3 linked regions of the Rattus norvegicus genome follow. The protein of the gene in region 1 interacts with the protein of each later gene in a pairwise test. Links are inferred from orthologs where the notes say so. Each region holds a gene or a part of one and is shown on either strand. Other genes may lie near its edges.

Region 1 (4,134 bases):
TTGATGAAGAGAAGGCTATTTGCTTGGTTTTTAAACATTCTCTAGAATGTTTATTAGTTTTAATGGAGGGGCAAAAAGTAGTACATCATACATCATTACATTATCGAGGGAAAAACATCAAGACAAAACTTCAATTTCAACAAGAAAATCCAAATTAATGATATTGCTAATCAGACTAAATGTACCTTCAGATTCAGCACCTAGAGAAATCTGCTTTGCAGTATTTTTGTTGAGAAAACATGACTTGAGATAAATCACAGGGACTCATGAGAAATATATATTTAAAAAAATAAGTGGAAGAGTCTAGGGATGCAGCTCAATTGCCAGAGTGCTCTCCCAGCAGGCAGAACACACTGACTTCCATCTCCAACACTATATAAACCAGACAAGACTTCACAAGCCTGCACTGCAATCCCAGTGCTCTTCTATGGAAGGGTTACAAGTTTAAGGTCACTTTTAGATACAGAGTTTGAGGCCAGTTGGGATACATAAGACCCTGTCTCAAAAAGCAACAGAGCCAGTAAGATAGCTTGATAGAAAAAAGTACAACCACCTGTGTCTGATCCCCAGAATCTACAGAGTAGAAAGAGAACTGACTCCTGTAAGCGTCTGACCTCTGCACATTCACAAAATGTTAAAAATAAAATCCAGGGGCTAAACAGATGGTTCAGCAGTCAAAAACACTAGCTGCTCTTCTAGAGAGCTCAGATTTGATTCCCAAAATCCACATGGCAGTACAAGACCACTTAAAATTCCAGTTCCAAGGGATCCAAAACCCTTGTCTGGCCTCCTCAGGCACTGCACACATGTGCTACATGAACATACATGCAGGCAAAACACTCAAACACATAAAAATATAAAATTTTAAATAAATAGAAAAAATACTGAAACCATCAACCAATGACACGACACACAACCCTTATTCTTGGGAAATAAACACCAAGAGACTCATAAGAAATGGATTCTGTGATTTAACCCTTAAAAGCTCAAGAAAAAAGCTGGGAGTTGTGGTGTTTGCCTATAATCCTAGATTTGTGAGGCAAGAAACAAGAGCTCAAAGATCACTTCCAGCTATACTTCAAATCCAAGGCTAGATGGACTAGCGCTCGCACTCGCTCGCTCTCTCGCTCTCTCTCTTTCTCTCTCTCTCTCACACACACACACACACACACACACACACACACTCTCTTCAGAAAAATACTGTCCTTGCACACACAAAGACAAAAGACATGTAACACTATGGTTCACAACCATCTTTAACTCCAGTTCCAGAGGCTCTGAGGTCCTCTTCTTGCTTGGTACCAGACATACATGCAGATAAAACACTCCATACATGAGAACATTATTTGTTTATTTATTTTGTTTTATTGTTTTTCAAGACAAGATCTCTGTGGTTCTAGCTGTCCTGGAACTTACTCTGTACACCAGGCTGGCCTTTGCCTGCCTCTGCCCCAAGTACTGGGATTAAAAGTGTATGCTACCACATCCAGCTCTAAGTATTTTTGAAAACATTTGCTGAAGTGTATAATGCATGTTATATAACCTTCATGTAACAAAAAGGACAAACATACCTGAATAGGAGATGGTTTTTCCCAGCCCATTTCAAAAATTCCCATTAGCAACTCTCGTTTCAAACAGTAATCTTCAAACTCATTTCCTTTTGTGGAGGTCACATCCTAAATCAAACAAATAAAATACATTTGAGGTTCTTTCACAGTAAGCATGCTTAAACGTATGCCCGACAGACTGAACCCTTTCTCCACTTCAATATAAAGACACCTATTACTACTGCTTTAATCTCTATGTCAGCTTTCCCTGAAGAACAACTAACTACACTACCTTCAACAAATAAACACACTTTAAAAATGGATCTTTGGGCAAAACCAGGTATGACCAAAGTGCAAAGTACAATATTTCTTTCTACATAAATAACATTTGATTAGTTTTTTTTTTTTTTTTTTTTTGCTTCTTTTTTCGGAGCTGGGGACCGAACCCAGGGCCTTGCGCTTCCTAGGCAAGCGCTCTACCACTGAGCTAAATCCCCAACCCCATTGAACGCCTGTTCTTATACACTCATACACAGTAGTTATAATACCTAACCTGTTTATCTCACTGATACACAGGCTGAGAAAAAGAAACTGAGAAAATTAGGTTATGATATGCAGTTAGGCTGAGGGCAGAGACAGAGATGCAGAGGCAGGGGCAGGTGGATCTCTGTGTGTTCAACGTTGGCTTGGTCTACAGAGTTAGTTTCAAGACCACCAGGGCTACACAGGAAAACCCTGTCTGGGAAAAAAAGAAAACAAAACAATAACCAAGGTATGTATGTGTGCACGCACACAGACACACACAACTTAATATACATTATACCTATTGTCTAATCCCATCAAAGACTGGTAGGAAAATTTTGGCAACCCAGTATCTATTAACTATACAGTTCCAACTATTTCAACACATACAGTCTCAGCTAAACAGTAAACCTTCAGTTGTAGTGAAAAAACTAAAGGTGCTCAAACATAAAAACCCCTGTGCTAGCCTGCTAGTGCACAGCTAACTACCCCTGTGCTAGCCTGCTAGTGCACAGCTAACTACCCCTGTGCTAGCCTGCTAGTGCACAGCTAACTACCCCTGTGCTAGTGCACAGCTAACTACCCCTGTGCTAGCCTGCTAGTGCATACCTAACTACCCATGTGCTAGCCTGCTAGTGCACACCTAACTATACTCCCAGCACCAATGAGGCTACGGGAAAGACCAAGATTGTGTAGTAGCCCTGGACTACACAGGATAATATCTCAAAAGAAAACAAAGCCGACACATTCCACGTCATTTCACGTAACTCCTTTACTTGTAACTTCCATTTGAAATAGAACACCCCACTTACCGAAGTTTTAATTCTTAGATCCTTTGGAGGGAGTTTTAAAGTCTTTTTCCAGTCATCACCAGGTCTAGAGAGAATATTGTAAGCATGAAGTTATCACAATTCATAGCTTCCTCCTTAATAATACAAATGAAACACCTCAAATAGAACCATCCCTCTAACAAGCACAATGAGTTTAATACACTCAAACACTTAACACAATTAGCAAAGGCATCAACTTCAGGAACGTGTTCTTGGGAACTCATTAAGGAAGATGAAGACTTATCACCAGGGCTGGAGTAACCAAGTGTTTGTCAAAATGTGTTTTATTTCATCCACATAGTTGGTTTTTTGTTTGTTTGTTTGTTAGCAGCAAACATTTAACCCCTAAATTTCATGTAAAGGCTCAGATTCTGGACTTTCTTTTAAAAACTGCTAGATTCAATCCACAGCACTTTAGGAAGACACACTTTGGCAATAATGTTTCAAATTCCTGTATGGTAACAGTTTGGTAGACCTGAGTAACTACATTAGCCCCCTTTTTTGTAATGCTAAGAAACTGAACCCAGGTCACTGGACAAGCTGGGGAATTTCCAGTGGATTACCTAGTAACCAGAACTTAAACAATAAGTACCTTCTAGTTTGGTGCTCTATAGTCATCCAAGCCTGTAACTTATGGTAACTAGCTGATTCTTGTTAGAACCAAGAGAACCTACAGTCCTACCTACCTTGAAGAATGAGGTAGAAAGACCACCTGAGCCTGGAAGCCCCAGGATAATCTGAACAGAAAGACCTTGACCTCAAACACAAATGCACACAAAGTCCTGAAGTTTCAAATAGAGGTTAAGTCTTGATTTGACTCCTATTCCTTCTGTGATGCTGTTCCAATTACTTCCCCCAAACCTCTATTCTCTCACATACAAACTGGGTGTCTAATAATTTTTATCAATAATCTATAAAGAGGTGGCACGATGTCATGAATCAGGTAATTTCAGCACTTGGGCAGCCAGTCTGGGTTATGCTAAGTGTGGTCTCAAAAAGCAAATAGGTAATTTTGAAAAGTAGTCAGTACTATACCTAACACATTAAGAACATCTTAGTCATTTCACTTGGAGACTCTTGAAATTGTAACCAGAACACCCGAAGCTTGATTTATCTAAGGCTACAGCCCGCACATAAAGCACAAACATTCCAATACTGGTATCTTTGTTTACGAAAGCTTGCTATTCAGTCCAGATTGGCCTCCAACTCATGATCCTCTGCTTCAGTCTACAGCA
Region 2 (4,134 bases), on another chromosome or scaffold:
GTTCCTGCAAATAAATACGTCTCTACGGCAACAGTGTTCGTGCTAGTGTTAAACTTCAGGGCTTGTCTCTGACAGAGCTCTGCAGACTGCTTACTGCACCCTTCTTATTGCTATGATAATGTGGCTGTGGAAATAAACTACTGTACATCCAAAAAAATAGAGCACCTTTAACATTAAAGTACACGTCGATTATCTGCCTCCCTATTTATTTACAGTCCGACAGCCCCGCTACAGTACACTGGCTTAGCGTCTCTGCAGGTCACCCGCTCAGGTTAGTGACACCTAGTTCTCTCCCAAAGGGAAGCTGAGGCCAGAGCATCGTCAGGGAACCATTCAGCTTCTGTTAGCATCCAGCAGTTACATTCATCTTCTGCTGCAGCCACCTGGGAGTCCAGGCCCCCGACCTGCCTGCTGGGGTGAGTAGTGAGACACAGACAGACAGTGAGACATCTACCTACAGGTGACAGAAAGCACATGTAAAAACTGCATTGCCGACTTGGAAGGGACCACAGGGAGGCAGGCTGGCAGGCAGGCTGACTGACCAGCCCGGGGTCCCACGGTGAGGAGCGGCGAGCTGATCAGACCTTTTTGTCAATGGTGCTAAAAAACCACTCGGTGAACGTGCGTAGCTGGGCTGTGGCGGTCTGTGACTCTTCCTGCAGTCGCATGTTGTCCTGCCTCAGGTGCTGGACCTCAGCCTGCAGCACCGCCTTGTCCTGCTTCTCCTGTGTGGCAGAGACAGAGGGTGTTACAAGGTCAGCTACTTCTACTGAGCTGCACACGAGGGTCCCAGGGTCTTGCCTGGGTTTTGTTGTTCACGCAGAGCCACCCTAGGCTCTTGGCTCCCTCCGTATGTTCTTAAGGAAGAGCAGAGCTGCTGTGTAGGAAGTGATACTACCCCACACCACCTGGAGGAGAGATGGCCAGGCTGGTGGGAACCCCTCCTGACTTGAGGGCTCCTTTCTACCCAAGACTGGCCCAGTGTGGCAGCTGCGATGCTAACTCGGGGACAGCTGTTTGGCCTCTCACGCCAAGCGATTCTGGTGCTGGCATAGCTCCATGCTGCCTTCAAAGATGGCCTCTCAGGACTACGTAATAGGACTTTAAAAGTAACTGCCTTCGATGCTTCTACCATGAGAAACACTTGACAGACTTCAGATCTCTAGAGCTGAGGGGCAGAACAGTCATAGCAGCTACTGCTCTTAGTGGCTCACTGCTGTGATACACAGTGGGTGAGCGGGGTGAATCACTCCCTCAGGGCGTCTGTCAGGGCGTCTGCTTCCACCCTTCAATAGCCTCCCAGTTCCCCAACTCTACCCTGTCCATGCGTCCTGTCTTTAAGGCCTTCTCAACACTAATGGACAACTCTAGAGGCTGGTTCCTCCTCTCTCTCCAACCCACACTTCAGCCCCTTCTAGAACAGCTTCAGGTTTTTACATCCTGGCCCACCGCCATGCCCTGGTTCCAAAGGAAGCTTCCTGGTGTCCACCTCCACTGTCTTCTAAGCCCACCTGGACGGTCCCATTCCACCACCTGCCCCACACCACCATGTCTTCCTTCCCCAGTGCTCCTGCAAGGAAGGCTCTTGTTCCTCTGGCAAGCTGGTACAGACCTCCTCGGGGAGCTCAAACTCTGTGTTTCCTGATGGACTCATCAAGGGTACATCACCACTAATGTGCTACATACCCCGGGGGCCCTTGTGCCTCTCTTGTTGTCCTAGCTAGACCAAGTTAGTTAAACTCAACTGCCCTGGTGTCCATATCTGCAAAGGAGATAAGCAGTGAGCTGTGTCTGTCTGCCTGGGGCTCTGCTGGCTTAGAACAAAGAAACCTTAGTCTAGGCAGACTTGGGAAGGAGGTCCCTGGAGCTGGTGTGTGCGCGTGCATGCGTGTGTACACACACACACACACACACACACACACACACACACACACACACACACACACATCCCCTCTATCAGGATCACCTTAGCAGGAAGTGAAAAAGCAGCCTTGCTGGCAGCTCAGCTAAATACCCCCTGGCAGTTTCCCCTGCCCTTGACCTTAACTCTAGCTCCTTAGCTGGTGGTGGGAGACGGTGACCATCAGAGGTCAACACGTGAGTGTGCACGTGCACACAGACCCACATGTGTTTAACGTGTGGCAAAAGCTGTCCCAGTGCCCATCCTAAGTCAGCTGCTTCCCTGGCACACTAGGTAAGAACTAGACTCTTGTATAATTAATTTTCTTCACTAGTTCCTTCCGGCTTGGCCAACCCCATCCATGTTTACACCAGCTATGATGTAACACAGCAAACCAAGCCTACATCCCAGGAGGCTTCTGAAGCCCTCTGTGACTCCATCTCCCTCCAAGGGCAGCAAAGGCACCTAGCACAGTAGGGGCACTGCAGTGGGAACCAGCATCTTGTTCCTCTGGAGAGAAGCCAGCACATGGACAGACTGACTGACTGACTGACTAGCTGACTGACTGACTGACTGACTGACTGACTGGCTGGCTGGCTGGCTGGCTGACTGACTGACTGACTGACTGACTGACTGGCTGACTGGCTGGCTGGCTGGCTGACTGGCTGACTGACTGGCTGGCTGACTGACTGACTGACTGGCTGACTGGCTGACTGGCTGACTGGCTGACTGACTGGGCTCTTGAAGGTCTCATCTTTGGTGAGTAACAGATCCTCCTCTGGGTTGGCTCACATGTGGCTGTTGCAAGCAAAGCCTCAGGGGATCTCACATTTAGAAGACATAGACACTCGCAGGCCTATTTACACGGAAAAGAGGCAGACCTGAGTTAATTCCTGGGAGCCACAGTAGGACTCTATGTGCCCTCAGGGGAAACCCCACACCAGCTGCCGGTGAGAAGATGAGAGGAGACAGAGGGAACCTCCTTCCCGGATCCAGGTCGGCTGAGGGTCTTATCCATGTATTTGCAGGAATTAAAAGGGGCTCGATGTGGGCAAAGCACTCAGAGGACTCCGCAATCACATACCTTCCGGAGGTCAGTCTGCAGCTGTCGGAGAATCAGTTCTAGCTGGTTAACTTTCCCAGTCAGTGTGGAGGGTGATCGCTCCCTGGGAAATGTACAATTAAGAGGATTTAAGAGACTGAAGGCTAGGATGTTGCTTGTGTTCATGTTAGCAAACTTTTCCCTGAAAATACTGTGTGTAAGTTGACAAGGTCCCCCATAGCTACCACCATGAACTCAGAACTGGTAAGACACTGAGGATGGTAAGCCAACAAAGCCAGGCTTATTTAAGTGGAGAAGAGGCAGACCAGAGTTAAGTCCTGGGAGCCACAGTAGATATGACTTCCCTAACCTGTAGGCAGATAATTGGATCAGGGATCAGATCTGGGAAGAACTGTGCTCTAGGCAGGTCCACAGCATGAGTGGCCTGGCTGGCCAAGACTGACTGACAAGGGGTCATGCCTGGTGCTTTTGTAGTAATTAGGCAGCTGACTGGAGGTTGGCTTCTGTGGCACAGGCAGCCAACAGGCAGGATCTGTCTATGCTGTGTGAAAGTCACATAGACCAGTGACATCTCTTCCGGTATTCAGGTCAGTCCCACTGTAAGACTCTCTCCAGCCTGGCCTTGGATCCCTAAATTTTGGGACAGTGGGAGGGAGGGTCTACATACCCTGGTGTATCCATGAATTCTTTGCCACTGGTGGGATCTACACACAAGGACAGCTCTGGGGCCCCTTCTAGTTCTTGTCCATGCTGGAGGTCGGTCAGGGTGCAGAAGGAGGCCACCCTCTGGTCTGGAGAGGAGGAACATATAGAAAGGAGGTTGGTGAGAGCCACCAGGCCCCGTGACTTTGTACAGACCAATTTACTGAATGGAATCTGCTGACCCTCCTCACCACAATGCCCTGTTTGAAACAAAATGGAGAAACAGAAACTTAGGCAAGCCGGTGGCAATGACGAAGCATGAGGCTGGCTGCCCTCCGCAGGGAGGGTATGGTGCATATATACCGAGCTACAGAGCAAGGCAGCTTTCTCCTTCCCACACTCCCAGGACTCTGGTTGTGTGTGGTTTAGCAAGTGCACGATGTGGCTGTGACAACCATGGAGATGGACCCTGCTGCAAGCTCCTATGAGCTCGAGAATGTTCCCAAGACAGGACAGCCAGGGCACATGT
Region 3 (4,134 bases), on another chromosome or scaffold:
TAAAGACACTGTCAGGTCCATTGCTATGGGGTTTCAGGGTCAGCTGCGCTGTCATTTCCATATGGTGCACCGCTTGCTTCTGTCGTCTTTGTGCACCAGGCACATCTTTCTAAGTTTGAGCGTCAGACCTTGACAAATAGTTCCAGTCATGTAGTGACGACTAGAATTTTACATCAGAAATAGAGGTAGGAATAGGGTAGACTGGAACCCTCTCCTGCCGGGTTGGTGAGTGTGTGTGGGAGTGCGCACATGTGGGATGGGGTTGTTTTATTTTGTCTGTTGTTTCTGTTTTGTTTGGTTTTTGCAACATGGGGCCTTCCCCCCCCCCCATAAGCTCAGCTGGTATTTTGCCATGTGACTATCTATATCCTTCTCCTCACTTCTTATTTTGAGACAGAATCTTGCAAATTTTCCAGGCTGACCTCGAACCCTCTGTAGCTCAAGCAGGCCTTGAGCTTGTAATCCTCATGCCTTAGCCTTCTGAGTAGCAGGGACTGTAGGCCAGCGGTAGCCGCTCCTGTGGGACCCGCTGTCTTCTGTGTCTTGGGAACTATTTTATAAGAAGAAAAGAGGGTTAGCTGGGAAACCGATCTTTCTGATTAGTACTTTCACCGGCAAGTTGCAGGCTTGTTTCTTAGGTCCTCTCCGGTACCCACGTATGTCCTTACCCCCTTTAGGTCCTCTCCGCTACCCACGTGAGTCCTTCCCCGGCAAAATGGAGATCTCCTCGCACCAGTCCCACCTCCTGGAGCAACTGAATGAGCAGCGCAGGCAAGACGTGTTTTGTGACTGCAGTATTCTAGTCGAAGGCAAGGTCTTCAAGGCGCATCGGAATGTATTGTTCGCAAGCAGTGGCTACTTTAAAATGCTGCTTTCTCAGAACTCCAAGGAGACAAGTCAGCCAACCACAGCCACGTTTCAGACCTTCTCCCCCGACACCTTCACGGTCATCCTGGACTTCGTCTATTCCGGCAAACTCTCTCTTACTGGACAGAATGTGATAGAAGTGATGTCTGCCGCGAGCTTCCTTCAGATGACTGACGTCATCAGCGTGTGCAAGACTTTCATTAAGTCCTCCTTGGATATTAGTGAGAAGGAGAAAGATCGCTACTTCAGCCTCTCGGATAAGGACACCGGCTCTAATGGAGTAGAGCGTCCCTCTGTCTATAGCAGCAGCTGGCAGGAAGATGGCGGGTCTCCCCGCTCTCACCTGAGCCCAGACCAAGGACCAGCCATAGTGAGTGGAAAGCCATGGAACAAGTACAGTTACCACCCAGCCTCCCAGAGGAGTCCTCAGCCACCATTGGCCAAGCATGAGCAAAGGAAGGACCCCATTAAGAAGACCAAGCACTTGAGATTGCCACAGCCATCTGAAGTTGTTCATTTCAAGTCGGGCAAAGGAGATGCTCGGACATCCGATTCCGGCCACCATGTTTCCCAGTCTGAAGAGCAGGTCCAGGTGGATGCTGAAGTGGATCCTGTTTCTGCTGGCTACCCGTACAGCCAAGGGCCTGAGGTCGCCTCCAGGAGCTTTCCAGGTACCCCAGAGAAGCTAAGTCTCTCAAGTTTAAAGGCCCTTCATTTTAGGTGCCACAGCAGTTTTAAAGAGATTTTTACATTATTTACATGTGTGTGTGTGCGTGTGTGTGTGTGTGTGTGTGTGTGTGTGTGTGTGTGTGTGTGTGTGTTTGAGCATGTCTGTATGGGTGACACCCACAGGCCAGCCAAGTGTATTGGATGTTCTGGACTTGGAATTACAGATAGTTGTAAGCTACCAGATGTGGGCGCTGTGAACCGTTCTCGGGTCCACTAGAAAAGCAGCCGTTGCTCTTCCTGAGACTTATCTCTAGCCTCTTACGATTTTTTTTTCTTTCTTTTCTTTTTTTTTCGGAGCTGGGGACCCAACCCAGGGCCTTGCGCTTGCTAGGCAATCGCTCTACCACTGAGCTAAATCCCCAACCCATGATTTTTTTTTTTTTTTTTTTTTTTTTGGTTCTTTTTTTCGGAGCTGGGGACCGACCCCAGGGCCTTGCGCTTCCTAGGCAAGCGCTCTACCACTGAGCTAAATCCCCAAGCCCCCCCATGATTTTTTTTAAGTCATACTTTTTACTTAAATTTATTTCATAGGACCTGGAGAGATGGCTCAGTGGTTAAGAGCACTGACTGCTCTTCCTGAGGTCCTGAGTTCAATTCCCAGCAACCACATGGTGGCTCACAACCATCTGTAATGGGATCTGATGCCCTCTTCTGGTGTGTCTGAAGACAGCTATAGTGTACTCATGTACATAAAATAAATAAATCTTTAATATATATATATCTTTAAAAATCTCTGAAGTGGGTGGACCAGGAGGGGAGTAAAATCTGGAGTGTAAAAATAAATAATTAATTGAAAAAAAAATCGGGCTGGAGAGATGGCTCAGCGGTTAAGAGCGCCCGACTGCTCTTCCAGAGGTCATGAGTTCAATTCCCAGCAACCACATGGTGGCTCACAACCATCTGTAAAGAGATCTGATGCCCTCTTCTGGTGTATCTGAAGACAGCTACAGTGTACTTATATATAATAAATAAATCTTTTTAAAAAAAAAAGAATTAAAAAAAAAAAAGAAAAAAAATCTCTGTGAAGCAAGGTACACACTTTTAATCTCAGGATTGGGGATCAGAGGCAGGCTCATCTCTGTGAGTTTGAGACCACCCAGGACTGCCTAGTGAGACTCTGTCTCAAGCAAACAAAAACAAACAAAAATTCCTCTTTAAAAATTAATTTGCTTCATTTTCGGCTTGTATGTGTGCGCGCGTGTGCGCACGGTGTGTGTGTGTGTGTGTGTGTGGCACTACCTTTCCAAGTGTAAAACTCTAATGTGAAGGATTGGATTAGAGGGGAAGAGTGGAGGTCTGTGCAAACACGTTTTACTTCTGTGCCAGGGTTGCTCGGCAGTCCAGGGCACTTAATTCAGGTCATCTGACTTTCCCTTCCCAAGTCTGGACCCAGCAACTCCTGGATCCCTTACGCTGACAGAGTCGTTGCCGTGCTCTCTGCGGTGATTTAACCCCACTGTCTCCTGACAGACAATCTGCCCAGGCTACGGTTCAAGTGCCCATACTGCACACATGTGGTAAAGCGGAAGGCGGACCTCAAGCGCCACCTGCGCTGCCACACAGGAGAGAGGCCCTACCCGTGCCAGGCCTGTGGGAAACGCTTCAGCAGGCTAGACCATCTGAGCAGCCACTTCCGCACGGTGTGTATGCAAGTTCTCGCCGTTTTGCTTCTATGTGAGCATTTATCTGCTTTCTCTCCCTCTCCCTCTCCCTCCCTTCCCTCTCCCTCACCCTCCCTTTGTTTTTACCCCCTTCTTGTGGTACTGGGGGACTGAACACTTCATCGTGCATGGTAAGCAAGGTCTCTACCCTTAGTTAGATCCCCAGCCCTGCTCTTATCTGCTTTAATAATCTAAGTGAGGCATGGGAAGGGGGTTCACTCAGTAAAGTGTTTGCCACACAAAAGTGCGAACTTGAGTCGGGTTCCCCAGCAACTACAGAAAAACATAGCATGATGATGATGATGATGATGATGATGATGATGGTGATGATGATGATGGTGGTGGTGGTGATGATGATGATGAAAACATAGCATGATGATGATGATGGTGGTGGTGGTGATGATGATGATGAAAACATAGCATGATGATGATGGTGGTGGTGGTGGTGGTGGTGATGATGATGATGATGATGATGAAGAAGAAAACATAGCATGGTGATGATGATATGATGATGATGAAAACATAGCATGATGATGATGATGGTGGTGGTGGTGGTGGTGGTGATGATGATGATGATGATATGATGATGATGAAAACATAGCATGATGATGATGGTGGTGGTGGTGGTGATGGTGGTGGTGGTGGTGATGATGATGATGATGATGATGATGAAGAAAACATAGCATGATGATGATGATGATATGATGATGAAAACATAGCATGATGATGGTGGTGGTGGTGGTGATGATGATGGTGGTGGTGATGATGATGATGAAAACATAGCATGATGGTGGTGGTGGTGGTGGTGGTGGTGATGATGATGATGGTGATATGATGATGATGATGATGATGAAGAAAACATAGCATGATGATGATG

Evidence for each region.
Region 2: the proteins of Ddx6 (region 1) and Sipa1l2 interact in binary tests that used the Homo sapiens proteins (3 or more experiments, as listed by UniProt). The two-hybrid records come from large-scale screens. The link is inferred for Rattus norvegicus from reciprocal best matches to the Homo sapiens genes DDX6 and SIPA1L2.
Region 3: the proteins of Ddx6 (region 1) and Zbtb8a interact in binary tests that used the Homo sapiens proteins (3 or more experiments, as listed by UniProt). The two-hybrid records come from large-scale screens. The link is inferred for Rattus norvegicus from reciprocal best matches to the Homo sapiens genes DDX6 and ZBTB8A.

What each region holds. Positions count from the first base shown.
Region 1 is NC_086026.1:53,834,981-53,839,114, reverse strand, and holds part of Ddx6 (probable ATP-dependent RNA helicase DDX6), read right to left. Parts: intron 2,946-4,134; coding exon 2,882-2,945; intron 1,677-2,881; coding exon 1,572-1,676; intron 1-1,571.
Region 2 is NC_086037.1:70,287,638-70,291,771, forward strand, and holds part of Sipa1l2 (signal-induced proliferation-associated 1-like protein 2), read right to left. Parts: intron 3,866-4,134; coding exon of another isoform or gene 3,755-3,865; coding exon 3,631-3,754; intron 3,067-3,630; coding exon 2,985-3,066; intron 726-2,984; coding exon 579-725; 3' UTR 1-578.
Region 3 is NC_086023.1:146,984,910-146,989,043, reverse strand, and holds part of Zbtb8a (zinc finger and BTB domain-containing protein 8A), read left to right. Parts: intron 1-677; 5' UTR 678-715; coding exon 716-1,538; intron 1,539-3,066; coding exon 3,067-3,236; intron 3,237-4,134. UniProt on the Homo sapiens protein: May be involved in transcriptional regulation.